Coturnix japonica: one gene and its partners. The protein of the gene in region 3 interacts with the protein of the main gene of each other region in a pairwise test. Links are inferred from orthologs where the notes say so. Each region holds a gene or a part of one and is shown on either strand. Other genes may lie near its edges.

Region 1 (6,342 bases), on a different chromosome or scaffold from region 3:
GCTGCGGAGTTCAGCTTTTAGGGATTCAGTGCCTGTAGTGTCGGATAGTTATAACCGGGATGTGGGGATGGGGGCGTTGCTTCTTGTTTCGCCTCAGAAATCGTTAAAGGAGGCACAGAAAGGCCCAATCTGACAAATGCTGGTGTACTATAGAGAAATAGGGCACTACCGAGACAAAAATACAGCAATGATCGTGGGGCAGAGCTGCAGTGTGCGGCAGTGCCGGCAGGGGGCAGCAGACGCAGCAGGTTGGGCGCCCCTTACTGCGGGGACTCGGCTCCACACCTTTGCTTTAACACTGATTCCATTTCACATTGAATGCTCCCTGTATCATTATTCTTGCTGGTGTTGCTCGTGCTGGGGTTGCTCTCTTCAAGAACCCATCCTTTGAGTTAACACCCAGTGCTTGGGCAAGGTTAGCCCCGCTCAGAGCTGGCTGTTCATTTGTGTTTATTCAGCTTAAGAACTTTAGAATCATAGAATCATAGAATTACCCAGGTTGGAAATGACCTCGAAGATCATCAAGTCCAACCGCAGCCTAATCATAGTACCCTAACTCTAACAACCCTCTGCTAAATCATATCCCTGAGCACCACAATGTCAGGATACATCTTCTTAAGTTTATTCAATATTCCATGTGTTTCTACTGTAGAATATTTACATGGCATTACTGTAATCTGCTTTTTTGTGGTTGGCAATTTAAGTTGTTCTGTATCTTACTGAACTGCTTCCTTGAGCCCTCCGATTTTTCAGCTCATAGTAGGGCTTGGTGGTTAGGTAGAGCTTGTTTTGTTTTGTTGTGGTGTTTCGGTGTGTGTGTAGCGACGGAAACAGTTTCTTCTCGGGGTACAGAGGGCAGAGAGGCTTTGATTTCAGGGCTGTTTTTTGTTTGTCATGCTACAAGAGCTCTGAGGAAATCAAGTTCCTCATGGAAACCAAATGAAAAGGGAAGTGACAGTTCTCACCATTCAAATCATCCGTATCTAAGCCCTATCTCACTGTGGCTCCAGCAGATGAAGTCTGTGGGTGGCTCAGGGTGATTCCATCCTAAACAGCAGGGACTTGAAAACAAACAGAAACAATGGAATTCATAACAGAATTATTAAGCAATTTAGGTATGCAGCGTGTTATCATCTCCCAAAAACAGTTGTCTGTGTAGCTGCGTGTCTAATCAAACAAAGTACTCTGAATTGCTGGAATAATAACCTATTGTAACTATGTAATTTTAATTTCAGCTGTTGCTTAATGTTGGTATAGCTTTGTGTTTTAAAGACACAGCCTTTAGAGCTGAAGCTTTGCCCAGTTAGTACAGAGGTCTGGCTATTTACGAGACTTTAACTAACTTTAACTATAGGAAAGAAGCATTAGGAAATACGATGTTAGGAAATGAAAATCGCTGTGCCATTGAATAAATAGCCAGTAGCCCTTTGTTACCAATAGTACCTCATCCCTCTCTTTGAAGAGGAAATGATAGAACTGGAAAGGACTTGGAGAAGGATGACAGAGACAGCAGAAGGCAGAGAAGGACTTTATTACCAGTAGCTGCAGGTAGGTTGTTTTCTTCTGCCTAGAGAAAGGATTACCAAACAAGGAGACTGTGCTGGAAAACAAGTGGCATAGAAAGGTTGAGCTTATTCAATGACCCATCCAGTAAAAGAACTAGGAGACATCAAGGAGCCAGATTCAAAACAAAAAGAACTGATTATGCATGTCTCAAAGAGGTAAAATGAGAAACTCCATTGTGTCAGATTTTGCAGATACTGAAAGTTTTGCATAAGTTCAGGAAAACACCACTAATGGATTCTTCTGTCTGCCCCCTGGCATCCAGTGCTGGCTGAAGGTGTCATGAGCTAAACCAGCTTTGGGTCTCTCTAGGTATCAATGCTCTGATCTTCCAGCTGAGTTGTATGACTTTTTTCTGACTAATCCAGTGCAAAATGCTAAGCCAGTTGTCTCATTCTCAGAGGCCATGTTTCTTATTTAAACATTTGTGTGCAAACTAGTCAGCATGGAGATGCAGATAAATATCCTGTGTCATGCTCAGTAGTTTGGCTGAGGTTCTGTTCATTGTCTCCCTGCTCTGGGTGCTGCCTCCCAGCCAGCAGGACAGATGGGAATGTGCTCTTTGGCTAACTTCCATCAAAATTAGCCTCTTTATCTCATACTATTGACTTAAAAATAGTAAGCTTCCTTAGCTGATTTTGCCTGAGAAAATGGTCCTAAAGCCATTCCTCCTGCAGATCAGCACTGAAGGAGAAGGAAGGTAACATCCTCCTGCAGAGGAAGGCAGTGATACCCAACATCCACTAATGTCACTGGCTTGGGAAGGAGATCTGTGTCTATGGCCTTGGTTTATCTTAGTGTGGATTTACACCTATTAATTTAAACTTGCCTAAGCTTTAGCTTTGTGCTCCTGTATGAAACAAGAAAACCTTTAGTGGTTTGGAGCATTTATGTTTCTGCCCACACCAATTCAACTAACTTGGCTTAACTGTAATGGATCTGTTTTCTGAGGTAACCCAATTAAGACAAAGTGTAAAGTGTTAATGAAGTGTAGTTCCCTCAGCAGAGACTTTTATAAATTCAGTGCTTTCTTAATAAGTCTAGCTGATGCATCTCCATACGTAGAGCTGTATCTCTTCGTGTTCAGAATGAAATTTTACTGCTTTTACTTATGTTACCACTTACTGCAGTTGTCATTTTAGACGGAGCCAATACAACGACGCATGTCCTTTCTGTACTCTTCACTGGCTTTTGTATTAACGCTGCTGATTGCTGGAGAGGAACTGAAGTAAAGGTGCTGGAGTTCACCTTGGGAATCTGCATTCAGACTTTTATTGCTGTCCTGAAGCAATTTCACAAGACATGACCTGGGTTCTAAAACAGACTTGTAATTCTTTTCCTCAAAAATTCACTGTGTTGGTTCAAGGCCTTGCTGTTGTTTGCAGTTCTGCTGTTTAAGAACATCCATATTTATTGAACTGCTCTGTAAATATAGAAATCATTTCAGCTTTCATTGCTATTTGAATTAAACTGTTTATCAGATGTGGCAAAAATACTATTTTTCCAATTTGTTTTTTTGAACTGCATGTATGTGATTTTCTCTAAGCTGGATTTTAAATGTACTTGTGTAGTGGATAGTTGAAGAATGCTAAACTTCACATGTCTTTTGTTATGCTACTGCTTGCTAAGTGTTTTGAAAAGGCAAATCTGTTCTGTTCCTTCTTAAAGAACAATGGAGACTAGCATTTATCCCAATAGCCAAGGCTGTCTAGTTGTTTTCCTCTGTCTGATGGGTCTATATTTGTGTCTTATCATCATATTACAAACATTTCAGATTCAGGGGACCTTGTTCTCCTTTTGCTCAGCAAAATGTAGTCTCTGGTGAAAACATTTTTTGTGCTGTCATAAGGTGAAGAAGTGTTAACCTGGGTGTTTTTTTACTCCCATCAACTCTGTTTCACATACAGTTATAAATAAAGATGCCTACACAGGTGAAGCTCCCAGTTTTTGGCATTGCTCTGCTTAGAGCTTTTATTCTCTTGTGCTTTTCACTCTTCCTCATTTCTACCAGAAATTTGTACAGAGACACAAATAAAGCAACAGCAACCATAAAGGTGAAATGCATATTCTCAAATATTCAGCAATACTGTAGATGAGAAGCAAGTCTCCTTTTATAATTGTGTATATGTAACGGTGCTTCAGAGTTATTTCTTGGCCTCGGTGATGTTTACAGCTGTTTCACAATGTTTTGACTCCTTCAGGAGTGATCATGAAAGTGCTTTTTTTTTCCATAAGCAAATGCAGCTGCTAAAATCTCTCTAAAAGTCAGACTGTTCTTGAAGGAATTCCAAACAGCACTGAACAAAGTGCAGTTTATAGACCATTTGTAGGCTACCTTTATAGACAATAGATTTTTCAGAAAGTGGCTATGCTAAGCAAAACATTTTTATGTCATTTGCCCATCACAGCTGTAAAAAGAAAACACATTCTGCTGTCTGTCGGTTTTCTGACTTTGGAATGCAAAACTCTTGTTCTTTCATTGGAGAAACCTGAAGGATACTATTAAAATACTCACAAAAAACTTCCCTCGTTCTTACTGTGGATTTTTGATTTATAATATAAAGGATATTTTTGATGGAGAATAATGATAAGAGTAGATAATTTATGTGAGTTCAGCATTTTGGTGTCAAGATCCTATTCTATCATTATTGCAGCAGAATAAGTTACCCTAAAAAGAACTGGAAGAGTCAAGTGAACATTTGCAGCCATCATCAACATTTCTCCCCACATTTTGAACTAAAATACCAAGATAGTGATTTGTCTGCCCACTGCATCTAAAGCCAACTATAGAGAACTTGTGGAGAAGTGCTTGAATTCCTCTATATATATCCTGTCTCTTCTGCCCTCTATGTTTTACTCTACAAACAGTCTCTGGCTCTCCTTTCTTGCTATGGCACGGCAAGACGTGTGTGCCAGATTTCGTTATATATCTACCTCCTGTTCTCAGACTTTATATCATATTTTTGCATTTTGTATGGCTTTGTTGTTTTGTTTTTTCTTTCTTTTTTTGTTCATTATGACCATGCAGTGGTTTAAAACAAATGTTTTAATGATATTACACATGTCAGACAATGTCTTTTCCTCAAGAACTCTACATTCTGCAAAGCAGCTCCCTTTCTATATATAGGTACCTCACATGGTCAGAAAGTGCAGCAAAGGGTGGGCAGACATGGTTGGAGAGGAGAGGAGGCAAGTTCTTTGATTAGTACTATGACAGATGGAAAGTCATAGGAGTTATACCTGTGGTAATCCCACCTACCCAGGGATTTTCTTTATAAGGCAGAAGCTGAAGTCTCCACTTCAATGAATTTTCAAAACTCAGATAGTCAAAGGCCTAAAGAACTTGATTTAGGTTTCAAGTAAGCCTTGTTTATGTGGAGTAGAAATGACTCCTGAAGCATTTTCCAACTTTTATTCAACTTTTTTTCCCAACTGTTATTCAATGCCTGATCTTTAAGTACTGTTTTACGTATTCTCAAATGCTTATGTAAAGAGAACTTAGCCAACTGTTTGAGGATTCTTAAAATACGCAAACAGTGCTAGAGGGATAGTGCTGTCTCCTAGAAGTCTTTCCTGAACTTACAGAGACATCCAAATTGCTAACATTCTGGTTTTTATTGTTTGAATGTGGGTCTCGCATGTAGACACTGTATAGTCACGTGTATCCCAGGACCTAATTAATCAAATTCTGGTATTTTTGTTACTTCCTAGATCTCCAGAAAATGAGTGAAGTTGGTGATGAAAGTTCCAGTTCTGATGAAGAAGAATTGGAAGTCGAGAAGGAGGAACCCATCTGTGCTTTAGCTCCAACAGTCTATACCCGAGATGAAGTATCCACTGATGTAACATCAAGTCCTGCATTTCAGTGTTTAGATGAGGTATCATGTACTCTAGTTTCCTTAGCTACAGCAATGCAGATTGTGTCAAAATCAAATAATTGAAAATGTATATATTTTTGTTAATAGTTGATGCATGTTAACATCTGTAGCTTTCCTATCTTCTCTAATTTTTGTTCTAAGGCATAAGAATGTTTTATGAAGAAGGACCAAGCATATACTTCTTGCTGGAGATGGTGCACGTAACAGAAACCCAGGTTACTCTTTTCAGGGGGTGTGGCTTTAAGAGGTCACAATAGAGGTTGTTGTATTGATACTAGATTAAATCTTGGAATATCTTTCAAAATTTTCCATGTTAAGTATTTTCTATCATATTTTCTCTGAATTACTAGCTAGTCATTTATACTCTTGTAGCAGTAAATGCTTATCAGAAGGAACACCTTTTGATATTAAGATTTATTTGAGAACAAATATAGCCCTTCTGGCAGTAAACCTCCCAGCCAAACAAATCTTGTATTTCTCATGAAAATAGCAGAAGTTGCAATAAGTCAAGCTTGCAGAACTTTCTCCTTCATTTTTAATAACACATAGTAGCAGCGTTTAGTCATGTGGAGTTGGGAAAATCATTGAAAGCTGACTAGAGGTTTGAACAAAAGCCCCTCAGTCCATCATGAGTTGCTTCTTTTCATCAAGCATTTTTATTTATCACCAAGCTGACATCAATATATAACTCAGTACTTCCACTGCTGTTGGTTAGAAAACTGTCATACATTCAAAAAATGAACTTTCCACTTCTTTTTGCCTTTGCTGCTATGTCCTTGAAATAAAGACTTCTGCTCTAACACTTCTAATTGATTCTCTTGTCTTGTGTATCTTAACTCATAATCCTGTTCTCTTCTATTGTATGCTTTTAGAAATAAATAAATTTATATGATGTGAATAA
Region 2 (6,511 bases), on a different chromosome or scaffold from region 3:
AACTCTATTTTAGCAGAACCCGACTAATCAAACACAAACTGAACCACATACTCAGAGGTAATATTGTCTTAGTTTCAGCTGGGACAGAGTTAGTTGGTTTCACAGTGTCTGCTATGCTGCTATGTTTTGGTTGTAGAAGAAAAATAATGTTGATAACATAACATTTCTCGTTGTTGCTAAGCAGTGTTGTAAAGAGCCAAGACCATTCCATTTCCAGTTTCTCCTCTCCTGTGAATGGCTGGGGGTAGGTACAAGAAGCTGGGAGGGGACAGAACCATGATAGCTGACTTAAACTGGCCAAAGGGACATTCCGTACCATATGACATCATGAGGAAGGAGTTTTGAAAGGAGCGGGAGTTCTGTTCTACTCCCAGAACTGCTCCCTAACATTGCTGTAGCATTATGCACATCACTACATAAAGATGCACTTGGCAACTACCCCCACCTACTAGCACAGGAGGACTAAGAGCTGCTGTGCCTGTTATTTTAATCCCTTTGGTGTTTTGCAAACAATGGTTACTATACTCCCTCAAAATATGACCAATGATATGGTATGAGAATGATGCAAATTTCATTCCATCGCTGGAGGTGGAATGTGGAAAACTCTGGCATATTTTGTTTAATATAATATCAGCTAAAAAAACAGGGAAAAGCTTACCTATAAAGGGAAGAAGAATGGGAATTTTACTCATAAGTATTCAGCACTCCTACACTGCTGACTGCATTCACCAAATGCATTCCTCCCACATGGAACCAATGACTTGGATTTAAGCAAGTGGGAGCTACTCTGTTGCATTTACTATGAAATGTCTGAAAACACTGTAAAGTAATTCATTTTTAAAGAGGTGTAGGCAAGCTACTCTATTTCCTTAATAGTGAAAATAGAGGTGATTCATATTCTGCTGTCATTAATGATTATTTATTTGCATGTCAAACGTGTATATTTCCAAATTTAGAGAAAATAAATCCTGTATAGTAAATTTTACCAACTTCAGGCCTTCATGATCCTTAACCCAGCTTCTAGAGCCAGCATTAACTCCTTTCCTCTTCTAAAGAGCTGCTCTAGAAATACAAAAGATATAAGCTGTCTGTGACATCTCTCCATCAGTACTTTTACCGTGTGCATGAGATACAACTGATATATCTAACAATTTTTAGCCATGTATTGTCATATATGTGTGGATGGATAACTTGTGACTTACGAGCTTTTGCAGATGTGATATAATTGTCATGATTTCTATCCCATAATTTCATCCCTTTTCCAAATTTCAAAGCTACCTGCATTATTTCTGCAGTGCCATCAGCACAGAAAGGGAGGACGGTTGGACTAGATGATCTTGTACGTCCTTTCCAACCTTGCGATTCTATGATTCTATGACTGAAATGTCGGTCTCTCGCTGGATGTGTACCCTAGACTAAACTTCAAGATTCTTGGTACTATTAATGGAAATAAATAGCTATCTAGAACATCTATTGTACGGTGGGATAAATCACTTTCTAGATCCATCTACAGCAGCTTGAAATTTCATATATGCCAATTACAACTATGGATCTGCACATAGCAGGGGGGTTGAAACCAGATGATCATTATGTTCCTTTTCAACCCAGGCTGTTCTATGATTCCATGATTCCATTCTATGGTCTGAACTCAGAAAATGGGCTTTTGACTTATTAAAGAAGTAGCCAAAGAATATCAATATATATTTTTAAAATTCAAGTTTTTATGAGACCATATTTACCAATCAGCAACTATCAAAAAGAATGGCCCTCAAAGCCAAAGAGGAGCTATGTTGTTCAGAATGCATTTGGAATGCAGCATGCTATTTTGTTCCATTATAAGAACTGCATGAATCATTCTTCAGTACAACCGAGCATGCTTTCACATCATATTAAAGCTTTCTTCATCCAGAATAAGGTGTGGGTGAATATTTGTGTTTCTGTTACTTTAAGAAGTACTTTTACACTTAGTTTGTGCCATATTAGCTAGATTGCTTCTCGATAATAGCGATATGAGGAACTATTTGATACGACATATGGAGAGGTGCTCTATCTTGCTCTGTTCCTTGAACAGGCTGGATGACGTGAGATCCTACATCAAATCTCACCCATGGTTTGAGCTGCACTGCATTTCTTCAGCTCCATTTGGATGATGTGGAGAAAAGATGAGTGTGTTGGGAAGAGAAGTGCACATAATACCTGGCTGAACAATTCTGGTTATTGTATGTGAAAAATAAAACTACAGCTTGAACAATAACCTTGTTTCTAATACTTTTGCATGTTTTAAGTGCTGTGATATGTAAGTTTATATAGCTGTAGCCTAGCAACTTCAATAATTTTTGAAGACCACTCAAAATGAAAATTCTTAGTATTTTAATAAAACCCAGTTTACATTGTTTTCTTTTTGTTTAGGTATGCAGATTTTAAGGACTTAAATACATAAAAGTAGAAAATCAAAGCTCTAAACTGTGCTATCTTAGTTGTCAGTAACCTCTTCACACCTTTCACAAAAGAATTCCAATATATTGTAGAAGAATATTTGCTTCTAAAATTGTTAATATTTTGTTTTATATCCTTAATAAACTGATATAATTCAACTCCGTTACGCATTCAAACCCCCAGATAGTCTGTACTTACTTAGAGTGAGTCTGTTCCTGAAACATTTCTAAGCCCTGCTCCATACTGCCCAAAGTCTTGTTAACCTGTTGGAAAAGCAGAAATCATATAATTCAGGTTATGCCAAGCACACCCGTACTTAGCAAAGCAGTGCATGGTGGACAGTTCAGTGCTTTCCTTTCAATTTCTGTGATTCTTCCGCCTCAAACAACAGGGGAAGGGAAACAGAATCACAGAATCACAGAATGACCCGGGTTGGAAGGGACCTCAAGGATCATGTAGTTCCAACCCCCCTGCCTGGCAGGGCCACCAAACATACACATTTACTAGATCAGGTTGCCCAGGGCCCCGTCCAACCTGGCCTTGAACACCTCCAAGGATGGGGCATCCACAACCTCCCTGGGCAGCCTGTTCCAGGGCCTAACCACTCTCCTAGTGAAGAACTTCCCCCTAACATCCAACCTAAATCTTCCCTCTTTTAACTTAAAACCATTTCCCTGTGTCCTGCTACTGTCAGCCCTTTCAAAGACTTTACTCCCCTCCTGGGAGTAAGTTCCCTTCAGGTATTGAAAAGCTGCAATGAGGTCGCCCCGCAACCTTCTCTTCTCCAGGCTGAACAAACCCAACTCCCTCAGCCTGTCCTCATAGGGGAGGTGCTCCAGCCCCCTGATCATCTTCGTGGCCCTCCTCTGGACCCTTTCCAAAATCTCCATGTCTTTTTTGTACTGAGGGCTCCACACCTGGACACAGTATGAAAGATGGGGCCTCACAAGAGCAGAGTAGAGAGGGACAATCACCTCCCTATCCCTGCTGACCACCCCTCTCCTGATGAGAGCTATCACTGCCGGCTATCACCGGCGTTGCTCGCCGTACCCTCAGCGGACCCCTCCCCTCCCTTCCCGTTACCTGCAGCTCTCCTCCTGCCGCTCCCTCGGCTCCCTCCGGCTCCGTGGCCCCTCGGCCCGCTCACTCCCGTGCCCCCATCCCGCCCCGGCTCCCGCCCGCCGCCCTCCCCGCCCGCTTTGCCCCGCGGCCGTTGATGGCCGCGCCGGGCCGTCACCGCGGCAACGAGGGGTGAGGCGGGAAGAGGGAGCGGTACCTGTGAGGGGAGAGGCGGGAGGACTGAGCAAACTATGGATTATGAACAACGCTTTTAAAATGAAAGATTAAAAGTATACGTAGAATTTCAGGAAAATTCGTGATGAAGTTTGCTTACTCAGACTTCAGCACAGCCTTTGTGTTCCACAGAACTCTCACAGAGAAGCTGCAGCTCATGGCTGGGATGGGTGTTGGTTATTGAAACATTTCATAAACTTAGGATTTAAAATACGTTGTGGAAATAATTTGCAGTGTAACTGCCAGCAAATTCCCTGTTGTTCATTTGAAGTTTAACTTTTCAACCCCTATTCCCACTGGGCTCATTTTAATTTCCTACCTGTCTCATACCTTCTCAGTGCTAATCAGTTATTCAGAAATTGAACTATCATGCCCAAATAAAATGTGAAGAAAAAATATCAACATTCACACGGAAAAATAATTTCAAAATGACATATCAATGCCTTAAAAGCTTTTCTGAAGGACAGGTTCCCACTGCATTTAATCAAAGTTGTGTTTCTAACTCCTGGATGCTCCTCTGAGTATCTCATTTGCTATATTAAAATAAAATCTCCTACAAAATTCATGACATTTTCAATTTGCTTTTGCTCACCGACGTTATCTTTTGACTAGAGCTTGTTAATGAGAAGGAAAATTTTCACTTGTTGACTTTGTAAAGGTAATTAGTAGTATTCAAAGCAGATGGAGAGGAAGCATAATAAATGCAAATAATTAAAGATTTTGTAAAGGATATTTATACATACATTAAATTATGGTAGCCAGTAAAGTAATAAAGAAAAAGAAACTACTTTAAAACCTGCAAATTAATGGAAAGATATAAGCACAATTCTGCAGGAAAATAAAGAGGAGTTATTTCAGGTCACGGACCAAACAGTATATGACCAAATGTCAAACAAGACGAGGCACAGCATTGATATTAAAACAAACAAACATGGAAAATTATCAAGGCAGACACTCAGAATTACCTGGCAACAACAGAATACAGGAAAATCCAAACAGTGATCCAGGGGGCACAAAGATGTATAGCTTCAATAGGATGCCCCTTGCTCAGCCTGGTCCTGGGATTCATGAAGCAAAATGAGATTAACAGCTCCAGTAGAAGAACTGGAAGAAGCTGTATAAAGAGAGTTGTTCATTTTCCAATATCTGCAACTCTGAATTGCCAGATTCTTCTCTTTCTTTCGTAGCATTGCACCACATTATTGATGGGTAGGTATCCTGTCTGTTCACCTAACAGAACACATGCCACAGCTGTTCCTGTTTTGAAGGGAAGCATTGGAAGTGAGTCCCTTCATACAGGATGTATTTTGCCACTGGTGTGGACTTCACATGGAATTGTAGAGCTTTTGTCACTAATGTTTGGGAAGTGTGTAGTTATTAAGATACAGTGCTGAAAGGCAGGCAACCTAAATTCTATTGCAGTTCCACTCCACCAACAAATTGTATTAAGAGCTTTTGAAGAAGTCCTAAGTCCTAAGAGAATTTAGAACTCAGAATCATAGAATCACAGAGCATGGAGGCTGAAAGGGGCCTCAAAAGATCATCTAGTCCAACCATTGCTGGAAAAGGGCACCTGGATGAGATTATACAGCACCAGTCCAGTCATGTCTTGAGAACTTCTGTCACATCCCTGGAGAGTTTTTTTTTTCAGCAGTTGATTGTTCTCACTATAAGAATTTTCTTTCTTTAATTAGGACTTGTTGCCCCTTGTTCTATCCATGTGGAGACTTGTGAAAAGAGACCCTCCATCCTTTTGTAGCCACCTTGTATGTACTGGAATGAGGTCCTCCCTGGCCCTCCAGCAGGGCAGAAAGACTTGACTCCTTCAGTCTTTCCTCACTGGTCAGGTTCTCAAGATTTCTGATCGTCTTCATGGACCCTTTCTAGTTTGTCCATGATGTTTCTGAAATACAAGGATCAGAACTGGATGTGGTACTCCAGGTGCAGCCCAACAAGTGATGAGTGATATTTTATATACTGATTCCGTTTTTTTGCAATCTCAGACGATAAACTTGTGTTAGAGAAAAACCCTTTTGTTGCAAGAGACAGAGTCTGACTCTTGTAAGAAACATACATGTGATATTGCTTTCTTTGGTGTTGAAATCACATTGTTTTATTAACTCTCACATGATGGATTCACAGCAGCTCTAAAAACACTTTAATATTTATATTCTCTATGTTAGTTTGGATGCTTATGAACATATCAACTAAATTTAGAGGAGCTCTTTTAGAAAGTGTAGATGGAAAGGAAAAGGAGTAGCTTAGCATAAGCCATTTCTCAACAAGAAAAGACAGCAGACAACAGAACCTATGGCAGAATTCCCAAGATATAAACATGAAAAATCATAGAATCACAGAATCATTGAATTACCCAGGTTGGAAAAGACCTTGAGGATCATCAAGTCCAACCACAGCCTAACTATAGTACCCTAACTCAACCCTCTGCTAAATCATATACTCTTAAACACATCCAGGGATGGATGGCCTAAAGCATCTCCCATATGTGGAAAGGCTGAGTAATTTGGGACTGTTCACCCTAGAGAAAAGTAGACTGAGAAGGGATCTGACGAATGTTTATAAGTATCTGAAAGGAGGTGGGAGGCAAATGGATGAGGCCAGGTTCTTCTCAGTGATGTGTAGTGACAGGACAAGGAGCAATGGCCTAAAACTTGAACATAGGTAGTTCCATACTAACATGTGGAAGAACTGCTTTGTGGTGAGGGTGATGGAGCACTGGAGCAGGCTGCTCAGAGAGGTCATGGAGTCTCCTTCTATAGAGATA
Region 3 (6,674 bases):
TCAAGCCTCTCTGTGACCTCCTTACTGTCATGGACTCCAAGATTGTTCAGGTGGCGTTGAATGGCCTGGAGAACATCCTGAGGCTGGGAGAGCAGGAGGCCAGCCAGAGCGGGACAGGCATCAACCCGTACTGCAGCATGATAGAAGAGGCCTACGGTAGGTTCTGCTGCCCTCGGTGCCACTGACTCTGAACACAGTAGAATATATTGGAAGGGTCTGCTAGTTTTGTTTGCTTTTCTGATGAGTTAAGGGGCTGGGTGTGCTCCAGATGAGCTGGTATTTGTTCCAATAATAGATCACACTGTCTTTGTAGAATGTTACAATACAGCATAAGATAATGTCAGGAAGCAAACACTACTGTGCTTGTGATCCAGGTTTCTTAGACCCAGAGGCCAGGCTGATAATTGCGGCTCACACTGTTGGGAATATTAATCAATGTAAGCTGAGCTGAGTAAGACCCACTTCTTGGGTCTTTGATTTGTCTAATTGTCCCCAGCTGTGCACTGCAAACGCATGACAGAAATCCAGAGAGACGGAGCTTGTCCCTGGAGAGCCCTAATTTGGTGGTTTTGTCCTGTTCCTAATGCTTTGAGGAACGGTTCCTATTTTGGTCTGAAATGCCCTGTATACTGTCAGCATCGTTTTTAATGTTTTTTCCCTTGCCCTCTCACTGACTGTTACATTGTGTGTCCTGGTTCCTCCAGTAAGAATAATTCTTGACATTCCTCAGTGTGCAGTGCTCGGATTCTTCCCGTTCAGCAGTGGGTTTAATTAGGACAGCTAAAGTTGTTGCTGCCCTTCTGCTGAATGCTGCTGGGACAGGCCCTGCTTCCTTCCCCTGCAGCTGCTGAATGTTCCCAGCCAGTGGCACAGATTTCACTGCCCAGTTCAGTGCTCGCAGTTCTTTGCTGGAGACTTCCTGCTTTACTGCATCAGCTAAACCTGCAACTGGGAAGGTTAATGGTTGCTGATATAGATAAAATCCACAGGCAGCTCTGGAGAAATGGGAATAGTTGGCTTTAGCTGTCGGTGCTGCTCACAAAATGCTCACGTAACACAGACAAGCAATGAATAGGGGGAAGGGTGGAGGATGGATCGGGACAGCTTGAACGTTAGGATCTCCTGTCTCATCACATTCCACTTTTGTCTTTTCTAAGGCTTGGATAAGATTGAATTCCTCCAGAGCCACGAGAATCAAGAGATTTATCAGAAGGCATTTGATCTGATTGAGCACTACTTTGGAGTAGAGGATGACTCTGCTTTAGCTCCCCAGGTAGATGAGAACCAGCAGCAATTCATCTTCCAGCAACCTGAAGCCCCTATGGAAGGCTTCCAGCTATAATACGCCCCAGGCAAAAAGACCACCACAAATTTGCCACAAAACAACTGGGAGAAGCTGCTGATCCCATTTCCTCCTTGCAAACGGAAGGCTGGACGCTCACTCCACCTGTTAGGAAACAATTCTTCCTTCAAACGAATAGACAGAGTGCTTTATCCTCATGAAGAAAATGGGATGTCTTGCACGTTTATTTTCTTTTTGCTGCTGCATACGTGTCTTTAAAGCAGGCATCTGGGTGGAGGAAGGACACTGAGGTAACTCGTTGCACCTCTTGGGTTTATTTTTCTTTGTGGTGATCTCTCCCAAATGTCACTTCTTACCTCGGGTACTTAATTGAGGTTTCAGCGTTGGGTTGGGTAAGAACAGAAATAGAAAAGCGAGTATTCAGACGAGAATAATTCTGGAAACCTGGGTTGATCTATTTAATTTTTTTGCACATGTTACTCTTATTAAAGACTCTAATTTGCCAAGAGCAGAGTTTAGCCCTGGCCTTTCTGCGCTCCCCATGCAGCGATCCTGGCAGAGCTGGGCTGGATTCACACTGCAGAACATGGACAAAGGGTGAGGGGCTGTGGGAGGATCCTCCCCGTGTCCTGATATTGTTGGTTGGTTTGAGCTGCTGCTGTTGACAAGGGTCGAAGCAGCCGGAGCTGGTGGCTGTGAGCAGGGCTGGGGCTGGGGGGGCTGTACTATGGGAGCTGCCCCATCCCCAGCTGTATTGGAGCCCCACAGCCCGGTTCTGGTGCTGTGTGAACACACTGGGCCTCATTTCCATGTTTCCGTCCCGCTCACAAACATTTTCCTTCATAAAGTCTCAGATCTGTGTATTTTATACGATCTATCGGCACCTGTTTGTCTAATCGGGCTCCAGAGGAAACCAACACCTGTGTAATGTAATGTGTGTAATAGCGCTGTGAGCCGTTACCTGCACACGAGGCCCGAGCTGCTCCCGTTATAGCGCTGTGTGTGGCCGCGCTCACGGTCGGTTCCTCGTACCGGGCCGGGATCGAACAAAGCGCTGAGCGGAGCCGGGCCGGGAGCGAGCGGCTGTGGAGACCGGGGGGGGCGGAAGTGGCTGCCGCGGGGCACGCCGGGAGTTGTAGTTCCCGCGGCTCTTCCCGCTCCTCGCCTCTGTCTCCCGGCGGCCCCCGCGGCTGCTCGGCGCTGATTGGTCGGCGGAGCGGGGCGGCGCCTGCGCGATGAGCGCACGCTGCGAGGCCCGGCCCGGAACCGCTTCCTTCAGTGCGGGACCGGCGGGGGGAGCGGGCGTTGCTGGGCGCTGCTGGGCGCTGCCCGCCGGTACAACGGGGCTCTGCCGCCTCAACCGGCACCGACCGCACCGGGAGGAGCGGCCGCTACGTCACAGCGCTGCCGGTGACGTCACGGGGGTACGGGCGTGACGTCACGGCGGGAGGAAGGGAGGTGTTGATGACGTCACGGGGGTCACGTGGGATGGCGGGAGCGGACGGGGGCTCCGGTCGGACCGGGGGGATCCGGGGATACCGGGCTGTATGGGGATACAGGGCTATAAGGGGATACCGGGATATGTGCGGGGATACCGGGCTGTGTGGGGCTGATACCGGGCTCCATGGGATCCGGTGCCGCGCGGCTCCTCGATGCCGTCCCCGTGGCGCAGCGCTGGGTCGCGGCGGGTCCCGGTTCCCGGTTCGGTCCCGGTTCGGTCCCGGTTCCCGTCCGCTCCCTCCATTCCCCGCTCCAGCTGCGGTTTCCGTTCCAGCGGTTCTCCCGGTGCTGAGCGCGGAGCGGTGCCGCCATGAAGAACCAGAGCGGAGACGGCAAAGCGGCCCCGCGACCCGCGGCCAAAACCGGCGGCGATCCGGGGGACGAGGCGGAACCGGCAGAGCCCAGCGCGGCCATGGAAGGTGCGGGCAGCGCCGCGTCCCGGTATTGGGTACGGGGCGGCCCGTTCTGTCCGGTCCGTTCTGTGCGACTCGTAGCGTTGATCCCAGCAGCACAGAGTCCCTGAGCGATCGGTTCCTTTAGTGCTGCTCTGTGACATTGAGACAGGAATGGGTGGTCAGCTCACAGCAGGTTCAATTAACCTTGCCCTGCGTTTTAGTAACTGTGGAACGTAGGAGATGCACAGCAATGCAGTGAGTTCAATAGCTGATGCTGTACAGCTCTGCTTGGGAGGAGTTGTGGATGTAGAGAAGTGCTGAGGGGCTGCTGGGATGGGATGGATTGTGCTGGGATGGGGATGGGATGGGATGGGGATGGGATGGGATGGGATGGGATGGGATGGGATGTGGGTCTGAGCCGCTACAGCTGCTCGTATATGTGAGCAAAGAGGCAAACTCAGCTTATAGATCTATTGTTGTGCAAAAAAGGCTCTGGGGATATTAGCAGGCTGCTGCTCCGAGGGAAGGCTCACACACAACCTGCTTTGGTTAGAGGATGGTGGGAGGGGGCAGTTCTTGCTCCTGACAGATGTCAGGGTCTCGGTCATGCTCTCGTGATCAAAAGAGGCTGTTAGGAATGCACCTCCATTGTCAGGGCAGCTGGCTGGAGGCACAGCCTGAACAAAGCAGTTTGTGTGCTGGGAGTTCAGCCCGCCCTGGTGCACTGAGGTGCTCGGGGAAACCTTCCCCTTGCTGTGTGTGCGTGGAGAGCAGAGAACAGGCGGCGTGGGGAAGCATCACGCCTTTGTGCTTGTATCTCCGACAGCTCCCCTTGCACAGGACGACACAAAGTCCTCCCGGGCTGCCGTGCAGGATGTCTCTGAGGAGCTGAGCAGGCAGCTTGAGGACATCTTGAACACGTACTGCGTGGATGCCAGCCAGGAGGGTCCGGGTGAGGACGGTGGGCAGAGTGAGCCCGTGGAGCCAGAGGAAGTGGAGAAGTGCCTCAGTGAGTCCCCGAGGAACGGAGATCAGGAGTCAGGCAGCCCCGAGATGAATGGTGAGAAGGAAGGAACGAAGGGGACCGAAGAGTTTCGACCTGGAGACGAGTGTGGAGAGCGGGATCAGAAGAAGGCTCAGGAAAAGAAGAAAGCCAAGGGCCTCGGTAAGGGGTTTCCTGCTGTGGTTGTGCTGCCAGCCTGAGAACTTTGGTGCAGATGTGGATTTTATACTGCACTAAGTGCTGTTAGAGAAATGAATACCTTAGGTACGTGTTTGGAAATAGTACAGCATCTTATTCTTGTGGTATGGGAGGAAACGTTGAGTGTTGCAAAGACACTCATCAGTCCTGAGTGCTGCTGCAGCCTCTGAATTGTGCAGGTTTCCCCTCTGCTGCACACAGCGTTGTCTAGTTGGCCCCTTGGTGGTTCCCTACTCTGATAACCACGTTTCTCCTCAGCTGCTTCAATTGTTCACTGCTGTATGTGGTGAAATCTGGGGGACAAACCCCCAAATAGGCACTGGAGATGGGAACTCTGGGCCAGGGTGGTCACAGGTGTGAGACCTGGTTTCTGTCTCCTGTCCTTGCCTTTATAAGCCACAACTCCATGTACGTGACGTCACCTTTCTGTTTAATTCTGTCTCACTGCAGGCAAAGAAATCACTTTGTTGATGCAGACCCTGAACACCCTGAGCACGCCAGAGGAGAAACTGGCAGCACTGTGCAAGAAATACGCTGAGCTGGTGAGTCCTCGTTTCTTCATTCCAGGCTCTGGGGCAGTGGGAGGACGCTGCTGCAGTGAGCACTGGGACAGCACTCAGAGCTCTGCTCTGTTTAAGCATTGAGTGCTTGGAGGTCCTGAAGGAATGTGCACTTCTCACCAATTCCAGTAGGATGTTAATTCAGGAAGGAGAAAGGCTGTGTGTGGGAGACCTTGGGTTCTGTATTCATCTGACTGTGCTTTTTATTATAAAGCTCCTGTCCTTTCAGAGTAGACAGAACACCTATTTGATCCCTGTGTACCCTTATATGGGCACAGCATTGCCCTGGTCTGTTTTGCTGCATCTCTGCCCTCTGCTCTCCTACCCTAGCTGGAAGAACACCGAAACTCCCAGAAACAGATGAAGATTTTGCAGAAGAAGCAGACACAGTTGGTGCAAGAGAAGGACCACCTGCAGAGTGAGCACAGCAAGGCCATCCTGGCCCGCAGCAAGCTGGAGAGCCTGTGCCGTGAGCTCCAGAGACACAACCGTACCCTCAAGGCGAGTGTCTCCTGGGATTGCTGCAGGAGCTGCTTCCTCCCAAACCCTTAGGTCACCTGCTGCAGGGCTGATTTTAAGGAGTGGTCGCCCGCAGTCTGATGTCCAGTGCAGGATTTCAGTTGTGCTGTTAATCTGTTATCTTGCAAGGGACAGCAGGGGAGGGAGCTGACCCTTGTGATTTTATTTTGAAGGAAGTGATCATTTGTGGGCTTGCTCAGCTCTTGGAGTGAAGGAGCTGCCATGCAATGGCCTGCAGAGCCTTCCTGATTGATACCAGCAGCAGTGGGAAGTTGGGTGGGTTCAGATCATCACGGCCCAGGGAGGTTTGTTCATCTGCCTGATGTGATGCCACGTTGCTGTCTGCCCTTCTAATACAGGAGGAGGGTGTCCAGCGAGCACGAGAGGAAGAGGAGAAACGGAAGGAGGTGACATCCCACTTCCAGGTGACACTGAATGACATCCAGCTGCAGATGGAGCAGCACAACGAGAGGAACTCCAAGCTGCGCCAGGAGAACATGGAGCTGGCAGAGCGGCTCAAGAAGCTCATTGAGCAGTACGAGCTGCGGGAGGAGGTGAGTCGGGCCTGGCATGGCCTGCTGTGGTGCACCCATTCTGCCCTGTGGAGAATGTTTCCAGGGCAGAAACTGCTGCTGGAGGGGAGAGAGAGCCCTTGGGATTTGAGGTCATTCCTTGGGATCTGTGCCACGTGGGTAGCAGGGCCCTGACCTCGCATGTCAGTGACTGGTGGCATTTCCTTTGGCAGCACATTGATAAGGTGTTCAAACACAAGGACCTGCAGCAGCAGCTCGTGGATGCCAAGCTCCAGCAGGCACAGGAAATGCTGAAGGAGGCAGAGGAGAGGCATCAACGGGAAAAGGACTTTGTAAGTCTTAGTGATTCTCTGCTGGTTATAAGCACTGAGCTGTTTGCCCTGTTTCTTTGTGGAGGTTGGGTTCCTGAGTGCAGTGCCCTTAAGAGATCAGGCCATCCCAGCTGTGTATGCAGCAGTGACCATTCTCCCAGCTGCTTCAGAATCAAGGCTGGAGCCCTGTGCTGTTGGTGGTGTTTCTCCCAGCCCCCTGCTGACTCCAGGCCAAGCACCAGCAGCATATGGCATATTGAGAGCTTTCCCTGGCAGCAGTGAGGTAACTGCTTTTGCTCTTCCCTAGCTGCTGAAGGAAGCTGTGGAATCACAGAGGATGTGTGAGCTGATG
Region 4 (5,030 bases), on a different chromosome or scaffold from region 3:
AACCCTCCTGTGCCCAGGCCCTGGGCCAGATCTGGGGCTCAGGAGGACCCCGAGTGCTGCATCTGGGTGTTTGTGGCAGGAGGAGCCACAGATGGGGGTACTCACTTTAAACTCAAAGCTGTAGACTTTGACCATCCAGAGGGGCCCAAAGACCTCAGCAAGATAGGAAGCTTCGTTACTGTGCACGAGAGAGACCCAGAAAAGTGTGACACAAGGATCTATGGCAGGCCCCCTGCCCGCCCTTGGATCTGGCACCTGGGATCATCACAGCAGCAGCAGATCTGCTGTGCTAGGCCTGGGGACATCAGGCTGCCCACCTATACATGCCCTTGGGCACACCCCCAGCTCTACTGTCTATGCCGTGGGCTAGAGACAGAGCCCCCATTCCCGAAGGAATGCTGTGCCCTGAAAGGGCCAGTGGGCACACACACCATGCGAAGAGCACGCAGGCATACATGATGGCAGCTCCTAGGATGGCAACTGTGGTGTCCTCTGTTTGCAGCTCGTCCTGCTGGATGCCCGGGAAGCAGACGGTGAGGTTCTGCCCCTTGTAGAGCACTGCAGGGAGGCTCAAGTGAGAGCGAGCTCACACTTCAGCAGCTGGCTGCACATGGCAGTGGGAGCACTCACCTCTCTCTGGAGGACGGCTGGACAGTGCAGAGAAGGTGAGGTACATCACATAGCAGCTGATGATCGAGGACTGTAGCAGCCCTGACCGTGGCTGTTCTGCAAGGAGAGGGGTTAGAGGCTCCGTGTGGGTGCCAGTCACCCCCTTTGGCAGGTCCTGTGCCCAAAGCCCTGCACCAGGGCACAGCACAGGGCCAGAGGGAGCCTCAGGGAGCTGCACGCTCCACAAGTGCCCACGGCTTCTGCTGAGCTGGGAGTCTGCAGCCACCCTCCTGGCCCCAAGACGCAGCCAGCCCTGCAATGCAGCAGGCAGCACTGACACGCTATGCCATGTCATGCCATGTGGTACTCACTGAGCCGCACACAGGGGGTGATGGAGATGAAGGACATGATGCCGCATAGGCTGCCGTTGACAGTGAGCAGCACCTTGTTGAGCTGGCAGGCGGCCGGGTGGGTGTAGTACTTGTAGAGGAAGGAGAAGGCAGCGGAGGCGAGGGTGTAGAAGGCGGTGGTGGCCAGCAGCACAGCCAGGTACCAGCGCTTGTCCTGCGCTGCGCCCGTCAGCCTGCCAGGAGAGTAATGAGAGCCGGCAGCATGTGGGCACCCACCCAACCATTTTGCACTCACCAGTTCTTGTTCCAGGTGTGAGCAAAGGCGGTGATCAGCACCAGCTGGATGAGGATGAAGGCAAAGCCACCGCAGACGCCTGTATAGTGCCACGCTGCAGGGAGAGAGGGCAGCAATGAGGCCGGCATGAGGCTGTTGCCAAGACACCACAGGTGAGCACTGGCCTGGGCAGGGAGCGGCTCACACCTTGGATGAAGCTGTCCTCAGGGAGGAAGAAGCTGGCGGCGCAGAGACCCACCAGCACCAGCAGCTTCAGGAGCCAGAACCTGCAGGGCAGCGAGTGTCAGGGAGATGCAGCTGTGTGTCACCGAGCAGCCCCAGAGCACACACAGCCCGTCCCAGCCCGCACCCGTTGTGGATCTGAGCGCGGCAGTCAGCGCTGGAGCGCACGTTGAGGAGCAGGGCAGCCTGCGCCAGGTGGAAGCAGGCGGTGCCGAAGCAGACCCGGTAGACGGCCGAGGAGCCCACGAGCTGCGCACAGTCCGTGCCACCGGGCAGGTGTTGGCACAGCAACCCCGAGAACGGCATCTGTGGGCACAGAGCGACGGGTCGGGGGGTGTGACAGCACCTCCAGCACCCGTCAAACACAACAGCAGCCCCATATCACAGTAGCCCCATATCACAGTGTCCCCATATCACAGTGCCCCATATCACAGTGGCCCCATATCACAGCAGCCCCATACCACATCACTCCCTGCTGTTCCTCTCTCACCTTCTCCCTGACGGCCCGTGCCGCAGTTCGGGACAGCATGATGCAGCACACGGCGGAGGCCAGGACGTGCAGCAGGGTGTAGAGGACGCGGGTGCCGGTGGAGGCGCGCAGTCCCCGGCCGGGGCCGCAGCCGCAGCCCAGCTGGAGGGAGCGCGGTCAGCACCGAACGGAACCGAACCGAACCGAACCGAACCGAACCGAACGGAACCGAACCGAACGGAACCGAACCGAACCCCCGCCCGCTGCCCCGCTCGCACCTGGCCCAGCACTGAGCGCAGGACGCCGCGCGCCCTCGTGCCCGCCATGACCCGTCCAGGCTCATCTGGTCCCGATGGGATTAAGGGATTGCGCTGTGACCCGCCCCGCCAGCTGCTCGCTGCTCACACGGGTCACCCCCCGCCCGTGGGCGCTGCCGCGTCGCCCGGTGCGGCCCGAAGCGCGGAGCCGCGTCCTGGGGGGCCCGTGGGGGGAACGGAAACGGAGCTGAACGGAGCTGAACGGAGCTGAACGGAACTGAACGGAGCTGAACGGAACTGAACGGAGCTGAACGGAGCTGAACGGCGGCTCCTCGTGCAGCGGCTGCGGGAACACGCGGCCCATGGGGCGGTGCGTTACACACGGTGCGTTACACACGGTGCATTCATTGCACACGGTGCGTTAACACACGGGTTTGCGTTACACACCGGTGACGTACCACGGTCGGTACATTCATTACACACGGGCGGCCGCAGGGGGCGCTCTGTCCCCTCGGCCGCAGCTGGTGCCGCTCTATCCCGCACCCGCCCCTCCCTCCCCGCTCTCGCTGGTTCCGCCGGAAGTGAGGCCCGGGGGCGGCGTAATGGCGGCCGAGGGGGATGTGGAGCTGGAGTTGGAGACCGAGCCCAACGGCTCCGGGGGGGGCAGCGACGGGGCGGGGGGGAGAGCGGCCGAGAAACCGCGGAAACACGACAGCGGAGCGGCGGACCTGGAGCGGGTGACGGACTACGCGGAGGAGAAGGAGATCCAGAGCTCCAACCTGGAGACGGTGCGGGCCGGGCGCCGCTCGGGGACGCGCCGGGTCGGGGCCGCGCCGTGACCGTGCTCGTTCCCTTAGGCCATGTCGGTGATCGGAGACCGGCGGTCCCGCGAGCAGAAGGCGAAGCAGGAGAGGTAACCGACACACACGTGGCTCCGGGGCGGCCCCGACCCGCTCGGTTCGGGCTCGGCCTCGGTTCCTGCTCCGCTGCCCTGGGCGGGGCTCCCGTGGGTGCCGTGCTCCGCCATGGAGCCACTGCTGCGGCTGGGGCTGAACGGAGCCGCCCCTCCACTGCCGGGCGGTTCTGCCTCTGCTTACAGGGAGAAGGAGCTGGCCAAAGTCACCATCAAAAAAGAAGACCTGGAGCTGATTGTAAGTAGGGGAGGAAGCGCAATTGGCTCCGGCGCGTCCCAGATGTCAGGGGTTGCACAGCGGGGTGTCCCCGATGAGCTGAGCCAACCCCTCCCCCTGCTCCATGGGGTGGTCTCACGTCTGCGCTGAGCTGCGGCTGTTTCCCCACAGATGAATGAGATGGAGATCTCACGGGCGGCTGCGGAGCGAAGTCTGCGGGAGCACATGGGCAACGTGGTGGAAGCACTGATCACCCTCACCAACTGAGCACGGGCTGCTGCTGGCTCTGTGCTCCCTCGTTGTGAGAAGAGCAACACGGCCTGGGCTGGAGACGGTGTGCGTTAACTTATTGAATAAAGGCAGCGGTGGGAACAGGCTGTTCCTGTGGTCCGTGCAGCACCGAGCATTTCCCGTGCTGGGCAGATCTGAGAGGGCACCCGGTGATGGGGATAATGTGGGGACAATGTGTGGCATCAGGGTGGTGACACCAAGTTCCCTGTAATTAGAGTGTGAGTGCTGGTCCCTTTGTGCAGCTCAGTGAGCTTACCCAGGATTCTCATGGCTTGTCAGGCTGATCCAGGACAGGCTTTTGGTCTCCAGCACAGTGGCTCTGCCCTGACAGCAACTCCTGTCATGCTGTCCCCACTGCAGCAGGCAGAGCAGCACAGCTGGAAAGGAGCTGCTGCCGCCTTTGCCCCTCAGCCTCCTGAGTGAGGGCAGGAACCCTGATCACAAGTGATGCAGCACCCTTGGCAGTTTACCTTTCTCAGGCCCGTTGCTGCTAATGTTGTGTTGCTGCACTATTGAGGTGAGGGGAAGTGATTGGCCAGGGCAGGGTAACTCCACTACTGAAATTTGTAAGAAAACAATTGTTTTAATCAAAACAATCCCATCCCCCTGTACAGATAGAAAAGCCAAGCCCTGCAAAAACAGGGTTAGGAGTCTGTCACAGCTGTTCCCACCCAAAGGAAGATCCAAAATGACAATGGGGAAAGGTAGGAGGAATAGAGAGATACTGTGGACCAGACAGGGATAAGTGTCTGCTAGTTCCTCTGAAGGTGGGGATGCTGGAGCAGGGGGTGCTGTGCTTCTGTACAGCTGCTCTGGTGCTGCCAAGGCTCTCGCAGGCTGGTGGGGTGGTGACATGACCATGAGGCTGCTCAGCATGGCTGGAAGTCATCTGCCACAAGAACCAGCGATGGGAGTCTGCCGAGTCTCTGCAGTATAGGTCATGGATCATGCCACCAACTAACAGGGAGGATGCAGTGCAAGGGCCCAGAGGGACAGCTGATTGTGGCACGAGTCCTGGTGCGGTGTTTTGTCCCTGCTGTTCCTGCCCAGGCTCTCAGGCAGCTGATAAAGCAGTGCCTCTCTGCCCAGTCAGCCACAGGACGCCCTCCTGTCTGCTCCCTTAAGTGGTCTTCCGCTTCTTGGCCGAGGGTCTCTCGAAGACATCCCTCACGCCTGCTGCTTTCTGCTTGAAGAATTTAGTGTTCTGTGCACTTTCTTGGCCCCAGGCAGAGTCAAACGAGGTGGTATCCTGGTCTACCAAGTGCGTGTACTTTGTCCGTCCTGAGCGCCCAAAGTTCTTGACCTGGGAGGCAGGAAAGATTGTGAGCATCAGTTGGTGTACGATGTGGGGACCCTATCATGTCACTGCTCCTTCCCTCGTGAGATCCCACCGATCCCACGAGCCCC
Region 5 (6,318 bases), on a different chromosome or scaffold from region 3:
CATTCGAGGGTGCAGCACTAACAAATGGTGCAAACTCTGCTGTCAGGGTGGAGAACTATCCTAAGGATCTTTTTTCACCCTTTCAGAAAAGCCTGCACTCTAAAGCTGCCATTGGCTCGTACCCACATAGCGGCACCGTGCCCTGAGCACCCACCGTGCTGCTCCCTTGGTTTTAAACCAGACCTGTGGCACAAATGAGGGAGCCCCATCTTCTCACAGGCAGGCTATGAAGAGAAGGGGGGAATTTTTCAGCCACAGAAATATGGATTTTGGCTGGAATACGCCTGAAACACTGAACATGGAACTCCTCTCACTTGAAGGTACTTTGTACAATGGAAGCCTTTTCACAACTCTATTGTAAAAGACCTTAGGGAATCAAATTCTTACGACGCAAAACCTGAACAGAAACCAACCATGTGGTCACAGGGACTAATAAGCAGGCACTGGATTTCACCATTAAAGCGGATCATCGCTAAAGCCTGAACTTAAAACTCCTTTATTTCAGTTAAACCTTTAATTCAGCCTAAAGGGAAGCCTGTGCCCCAGCTACAGGCTGCTCAAACCCACAGCCAACGCTGGGTGTGTCTTTTTTCCTGGAACTCCCATGCCCGGTTACCTCTGGCTGGTTGGTGACTAATACGAAACGGCACGCACACGTTATCAGACCCCTGGATGGTTATCTCTGCTGTGCTCTCAGTGTCCGTCACAAAGGTGACAGTCCTTCAGGAAATCAGCTTCCAGGCGTTGCTATGTACAGTTGTGACTACACACAAACCTGCAGGCTGACATCGCACTGTCTGTGCTCCATGGATTTGCTCACAGCCGCATCTCGAGTGGGAGCTGCACAACTAAACTGAAGCACCCCTGCAGCACTAGCAGCACTGCACTCACACCGATCACAGCTGCAGACATCAAAATTCATTGTATTCCACGACAAAAAAATGTATGGAGCGATAAAACCTCACCTGAGGTGTCAACTGTACCTGAGGGGAAACTATTTTAATAACTTGGAAGAAGACAAAGCAGAATGTCTACTGAAAACAAACCATTGGAGAGTCCTGTGAGAGATGCAGGCAGAGCAATGCACAGACAGCAGATGTAACTGTAGCAGGACTTTTGCTGCGTTCTTCTCGTGGTTTTAAAGATGTGAGCTCTGCCCTACAGCTGGAAATGATCCCTATTGAGTGCAGATAGAACAGACCCACCCTGTGTCTATAGCAACGGGACATTTGACCTGGCTGCTGGACTTTGACCGGACCTGCCATAAATGCACATTTATGCTTCTGAGTCACACCCAAAGCTCGAGGTCCAACCACAGTTCAGACACCTGAATGTACACTTTGCATCCTCATGGCAAGGAGCCCTGCTCTGAATGCTGCTCGTTTTGCTTTGGAAGATGCACATTTCCAGAGCAGCTGAACTCTGCCTTGTTACAGCTGCACTCAGCAAACTATTGGTAGTTCTGTATCCAATCTGAGCTGAACTGGTCCCACCGAATCCCACACTCAGCTCTCAGAAACCTGAGGATGCTGCCAAGATCCAGCATAGTGCCCAGAGAACAGCACGTCACCCATTGCCTTGTCCCAGGTTAAAAGACCAGTATGTACAGCAGCTCTTTTCCACTAATATAAACAATACATGTTAATTGTTCAACCTGAATAGCCGTACATTATTAATACACTGAAGTACACTAAATGCAGTGCCCCAAGGAACTCCACCTGCTTTGTCCTGCTGCACACCTGCTGCCTGCTTTCATGCAGCACCAGGAACTCCCCCAGCTCTGAGCTCTTTCACTCGATTTCCATTGTATCTCTGCCTGTCACATCTCAGCAGTACATACATTGCAGCTGGAGGAACTACAAAACACAGCTGCTGGGTTTCTTTGTGTGCTGATCAGAGGCAGCTGATTTCCTGTCAAAGGCAGAGCAGCCAGAGGGCACAACGTGCTGAGCACGCTGCCAGGGCAGGAGGGCTTGGAGCTGTGCTGGAAGCTTGGTCTCAGCACTATGGACCAGCATCTCACATGTAAAATAAAGGGAGCCATCCAGGTGGTTCTCATATCCTTACAGCTTTGCCTACTACATTTTCTGCCTTATCTCAACCACACTGCAGCCCAGTTCAACTTCTAAGGGCTTTCTATCACTGAACAGTGTACATTCAATGCAAGCAAACTACACCAGTCATTTTGACAACACTAAGATTACTGTTCTGTGCTTACTGTAGAATGAATGAAGGCGGTAGATACAAATGCCACCTTCCTGACCATTTCAAGACCTTCCTACACCATCCTCAGGCCCAGACGATGGCTCACACAACAGCAATGTACACTGGATTGAGATATAAATATTTAAGGTCTCTTGTCACATACGGTCAACTCATTTTAATTTCATAACCCGCACAGGGTTTGTTCGACAATGGCTCTATAGAGATAGGCTGGCTAGGCTGCAATAAATGATTCAGCAGCTCGTTTGTGTTTTATCTTTCATTCAAAATAAAAATGAATAAAGCTAAATTTCCTGAGCAGTTTTTTTTCAAACGCAGATGGAGAGATTAAAAACCCTTTGCATTACAGAGTGTGGGGACAATGTCCTGCATGTTATTTGTGCTGACACCAATTACAGTATGCGTCAAGAGAGGTGGGGTTTACAACCACCGTGCTTCCTCTTCCAAAGACAATATAAGGTTTACAGAGCACACAGCACTTCACTCCAACTCGCTGTCGTACAGTCAGCCGCTTCACCTTTGCAGGAGGCACGATGTCCTTCTCCACACAGAGCTTCCAGCTGGGTACAGCCGCCCGTTTGCAGGGCACAGCTCCTGGTAGCAGCGCTCTGTCCGTCAGGAGCGCGGCCGTGCAGCGGATCCAGGCGCCCAGTGTCTATGGTGGGGCTGGCGGCTACGGCACCCGCATCTCCAGCAGCACCGTCCGCAGACAGAGCTCCAGCGGTGCCTTCTCCAACATCTCTGATAACGACCTGCTGCTCGCTGGCAATGAGAAATCAACCATGCAGAACCTTAATGACCGCTTGGCTGCCTATCTGGAGAGGGTGCGCTCTCTGGAGAAATCAAACTCCCTGCTTGAAAAGCAGATCAAGGAGTGGCACGAGAAGAATACAGTGGGCATAAGGAGTGACTACAGCTCATACTTCCAAACAATCGAGGAACTCCAAAACAAGGTAAGATCTCCTACAGCCATCTATAAAAGCATAAACTGCAGCTTTGGGGAAGGTAACAATCTACTGTGGAAAAGTAGATCAAATAGGATCTGTCTCACCTGGGAACAGGAAATGCTTCATTCTGGCCAGACACAAATTAGTGACAGACTTTCTAATGTTTAAGACTCACTCAGTGTCCTTTGCGAGCTGCATTACCTCTGCTTCATCCCTTTCCAACCTTTCCTTTTTAGATCAGTGCTGCACAGTTGGAAAATGCAAGGCTTGTCCTGCAGATTGACAACGCCAAGCTGGCTGCTGATGATTTCAGACTGAAGTAAGTTCCACGCACTGCCTGCACTCCTTCATGCTTCAGTTATTCAGGATAACATCTAGTTATTAGTATCAAAGCTGAGAAGTAAACCACAGAGCTCAGTAAAAACAAATACTTTAGGCCTCGGGCTGTAGAAGTTATTGATTTGATGTTTCTGTCAAACTGCTGCACTTCTATGGTGGCGAAAGAAGCCTTGTTTTACAGGTATGAAAATGAGCTCTTGCTCAGGCAAAGTGTTGAGAGTGACATCAATGGGCTCATGCGAGTCCTTGACGACCTGACCTTAACCAAGTCAGATCTGGAGGCACAGATTGAAAGCGTGAATGAAGAAATCATTTTCCTTAAGAAGAACCATGAAGAGGTGAGAGCAGCAGAACAGTGTCATCATTTCTTTTTTGTCAGAGGCATTTACAAATTAAATTTAAGAGTTAAATTAAGAGCTAAATTTAAATTTAAGAATTAAGAGTTGCTCTGTTTCTGTATTTCTGAGCTTCTGCCCAATATTTGGGCCTGGAAGTTCACTTTAGCTGATGCTAACGCAGTGCTCAATGTTGTAGGAGGTTGAAAGGCTGCGCAAACAAGTGGGTGGCTCGGTTAACGTAGAGGTGGATGCTGCTCCAGGTGTTGATCTTGCAAGTATTATGGAAAACATGAGACGGCAGTATGAAGAAATGGCAGAAAAGAACCGCCAAGAAGCCAAAGAACGATTTGAAAAGCAAGTAAGGTCAATTGCTTCAACACCAGCGAGAGCCTCTGTCATGTCTGGTCACAGCTCACAGTCCTTCCATTTCCATATTTCAGACAGAAGCACTGAACCAGGAAGTAGCAATCAATGTAGAGCAGCTGCAAGAACAAAGGAGAGAGGTCACAGATCGGAGACAGATCTCCCAGAGCCTGGAGCTGGAATTACAGACCCATCTGAACATGGTGAGTGATGAACAGTTCTTGAAATAAGGGCTGTGTTTATAGAGATAACAACAAAAACTGGGACATATTTCAAAATGTAATTTTAAGGCCAAGATGTATCCTCTTGAACAATAAATCTCTGTTCTTTTTCACCAACTGTAGAAGAAGACTCTGGAAGATTCTCTGGCTGAAACTGAAGCACGTTACAGTTTTCAGTTGGCTCAAATCCAGGAAACAATTGCCAGGTTAGAGGCTCAGCTCAGGCAGCTGCGGGCTGACATGGAGGGGCAGAACACGGAGTACAGCATCCTGCTGGACATCAAGACTCGCCTGGAGATGGAGATCGCCACGTACCGACGTCTGCTGGAAGGGGAGGACATCAGGTGAGGAAAGGGGCTCCGGCAGCTTTGCACCACTGACAGCAGTGCAAATGAGCTCTAAATTCTCAGACAGAAACGGTGGTAAAATCTGCCTATTGGCAACTGGTTTTTGAAGGAAAAAAGTCTGCCTGCTGCCCGGCTCTCAGCTGTAGGCTCCAAGTCTGTGCTCCTTCAGAGGCTGCTGCAGTGTTCAGACCAGTCTATGCCACCCTCTGCACGGGTACACACTGTTACTCTTCTTGAATTGAGTATCTTGACAGCCGCCCACACTCCATGAACAAAAGTGATGCAGTTTTAGATAAACTTTTCCATAACTGTAATGACAGAAACTCAGGGCACATCATTTTAAACTGCTTTTGGTAGCATGAGCACCTGACCACATCAGAGCAAGGCACTCAGTGAGCGCACACTGACCTCCTGCAGTCTATGGCAAGTCTGGGAGCCCGTGCAGGATTCCATCCTGCTGCACTTCTGCCACCAGTAGCTGAGCCACTTATATACGTAGGAGGTGCAAATGAGCTGACATTTACTGTCTGGAAAGTCCAGCATCCCTTGCTCTGCAGTGCACAGAGGTCTGTGAAAGAGTGCAGAGCAGCACAAGCAGACAGCGCTGCTTCCCTCAAAGGTCCTATGGTTCAAAGGTCAGTTCTGGCTCAGGAACCAGGCCGGGCAAATCCTCCTGAGCTGAAGTTGTAACACTGCAGAAATTAGCCTGCAGGTGAATTTCACCTATAGCTGACGCTTAACAAAATTCACTTTAGTACTGAAAACTCATCTAAACACGTGACAAGGGCTGAACTAAAGTCTTGATGAAAGGAAATATACCTGTTTATATTAAAGGTGCAGAAAACATGCCAGGTTGTTTCTTCACTATGTCAGGCATAATATACTTACATTTTTCTGTTTAAAATCCGAACAGGGTTGTCCAAGAGGATATACTTACAAATGAACTTGAAAAAGGTATGTTGCACAGGCATGTGCTTTTGATGGCTTCCTGTTTAAATGTTATGGAATTAAGCGGGCTGATTTCAAAAAGTGCAGTTTCAGAGCAAATAATCAACTGGTGAAATCTTAAAACAAGAAAACAATCAACTGTATGAACAGGTAACCTCCAGGGATTATACAAGCCCTGCTTTATGTAAGTAACCCAGGTGCCAGAGGTAAAACCACAGGCTTCTCAAAGGGCCAGATGGATGGCAAAGCCATGGAATTCCTTTCCAAGGGCTTTCAGAGGTGTCTGCTTCTCTCCACTGACTGCACAGAGATTGGGCTCCTAAACGAAGTGCACACACTTTAACATTCTGTCAATGCACACTGCATTTTTATTAATTTACTGTTCAATTTCATTACCAGAATCAAGTAAAATTAAGAAGATCAAGACAATTGTTGAAGAGGTGGTTGACGGCAAAGTCGTGTCCTCTCAGGTTAAGGAGATTGAGGAGAAGATGTGAGCAGCACCAGCGGAGGGAGAGCACCAAAATGACACCATTAAACTTCATAAGGAAACCAATTTAATTCTCCCTGAAATCAACAAGGGTTGAAAAAT

The links. The genes of interacting proteins can lie anywhere in the genome.
Region 1: the proteins of TXLNA (region 3) and CCDC146 interact in binary tests that used the Homo sapiens proteins (3 or more experiments, as listed by UniProt). The link is inferred for Coturnix japonica from reciprocal best matches to the Homo sapiens genes TXLNA and CCDC146.
Region 2: the proteins of TXLNA (region 3) and DEUP1 interact in binary tests that used the Homo sapiens proteins (3 or more experiments, as listed by UniProt). The two-hybrid records come from large-scale screens. The link is inferred for Coturnix japonica from reciprocal best matches to the Homo sapiens genes TXLNA and DEUP1.
Region 4: the proteins of TXLNA (region 3) and HYPK interact in binary tests that used the Homo sapiens proteins (3 or more experiments, as listed by UniProt). The two-hybrid records come from large-scale screens. The link is inferred for Coturnix japonica from reciprocal best matches to the Homo sapiens genes TXLNA and HYPK.
Region 5: the proteins of TXLNA (region 3) and keratin, type I cytoskeletal 20-like interact in binary tests that used the Homo sapiens proteins (3 or more experiments, as listed by UniProt). The two-hybrid records come from large-scale screens. The link is inferred for Coturnix japonica from reciprocal best matches to the Homo sapiens genes TXLNA and KRT20.

What each region holds. Positions count from the first base shown.
Region 1 is NC_029516.1:11,495,197-11,501,538, reverse strand, and holds the start of CCDC146 (coiled-coil domain-containing protein 146), read left to right. Parts: upstream 1-2,721; 5' UTR 2,722-2,865; coding exon 2,866-2,890; intron 2,891-5,274; coding exon 5,275-5,441; intron 5,442-6,342. UniProt on the Homo sapiens protein: Essential for sperm flagellum biogenesis and male fertility.
Region 2 is NC_029516.1:166,307,011-166,313,521, forward strand, and holds the start of DEUP1 (deuterosome assembly protein 1), read right to left. Parts: upstream 3,622-6,511; 5' UTR 3,520-3,621; intron 2,700-3,519; 5' UTR 2,679-2,699; coding exon 2,635-2,678; intron 1,063-2,634; exon of another isoform or gene 987-1,062; intron 1-986. UniProt on the Homo sapiens protein: Key structural component of the deuterosome, a structure that promotes de novo centriole amplification in multiciliated cells.
Region 3 is NC_029538.1:4,543,503-4,550,176, reverse strand, and holds the start of TXLNA (alpha-taxilin), read left to right. Parts: upstream 1-2,542; 5' UTR 2,543-2,713; exon of another isoform or gene 2,714-2,727; intron 2,728-3,077; 5' UTR 3,078-3,113; coding exon 3,114-3,222; intron 3,223-4,024; coding exon 4,025-4,363; intron 4,364-4,849; coding exon 4,850-4,941; intron 4,942-5,289; coding exon 5,290-5,460; intron 5,461-5,837; coding exon 5,838-6,032; intron 6,033-6,223; coding exon 6,224-6,343; intron 6,344-6,629; coding exon 6,630-6,674. Other genes in the region: KPNA6 (importin subunit alpha-7), read left to right, coding at 1-156, 1,158-1,342. UniProt on the Homo sapiens protein: May be involved in intracellular vesicle traffic and potentially in calcium-dependent exocytosis in neuroendocrine cells.
Region 4 is NC_029525.1:18,268,065-18,273,094, reverse strand, and holds HYPK (huntingtin-interacting protein K), read left to right. Parts: upstream 1-2,706; 5' UTR 2,707-2,804; coding exon 2,805-2,990; intron 2,991-3,059; coding exon 3,060-3,115; intron 3,116-3,301; coding exon 3,302-3,353; intron 3,354-3,503; coding exon 3,504-3,599; 3' UTR 3,600-3,709; downstream 3,710-5,030. Other genes in the region: SERINC4 (serine incorporator 4), read right to left, coding at 106-178, 432-558, 631-726, 981-1,192, 1,255-1,348, 1,441-1,520, 1,604-1,782, 1,967-2,107 and 1 more; MFAP1 (microfibrillar-associated protein 1), read right to left, coding at 4,744-4,926. UniProt on the Homo sapiens protein: Component of several N-terminal acetyltransferase complexes. Inhibits the N-terminal acetylation activity of the N-terminal acetyltransferase NAA10-NAA15 complex (also called the NatA complex).
Region 5 is NC_029542.1:4,173,056-4,179,373, reverse strand, and holds the start of keratin, type I cytoskeletal 20-like, read left to right. Parts: upstream 1-2,697; 5' UTR 2,698-2,756; coding exon 2,757-3,176; intron 3,177-3,406; coding exon 3,407-3,489; intron 3,490-3,690; coding exon 3,691-3,847; intron 3,848-4,043; coding exon 4,044-4,205; intron 4,206-4,287; coding exon 4,288-4,413; intron 4,414-4,554; coding exon 4,555-4,775; intron 4,776-5,691; coding exon 5,692-5,732; intron 5,733-6,125; coding exon 6,126-6,223; 3' UTR 6,224-6,318. UniProt on the Homo sapiens protein: Plays a significant role in maintaining keratin filament organization in intestinal epithelia. When phosphorylated, plays a role in the secretion of mucin in the small intestine.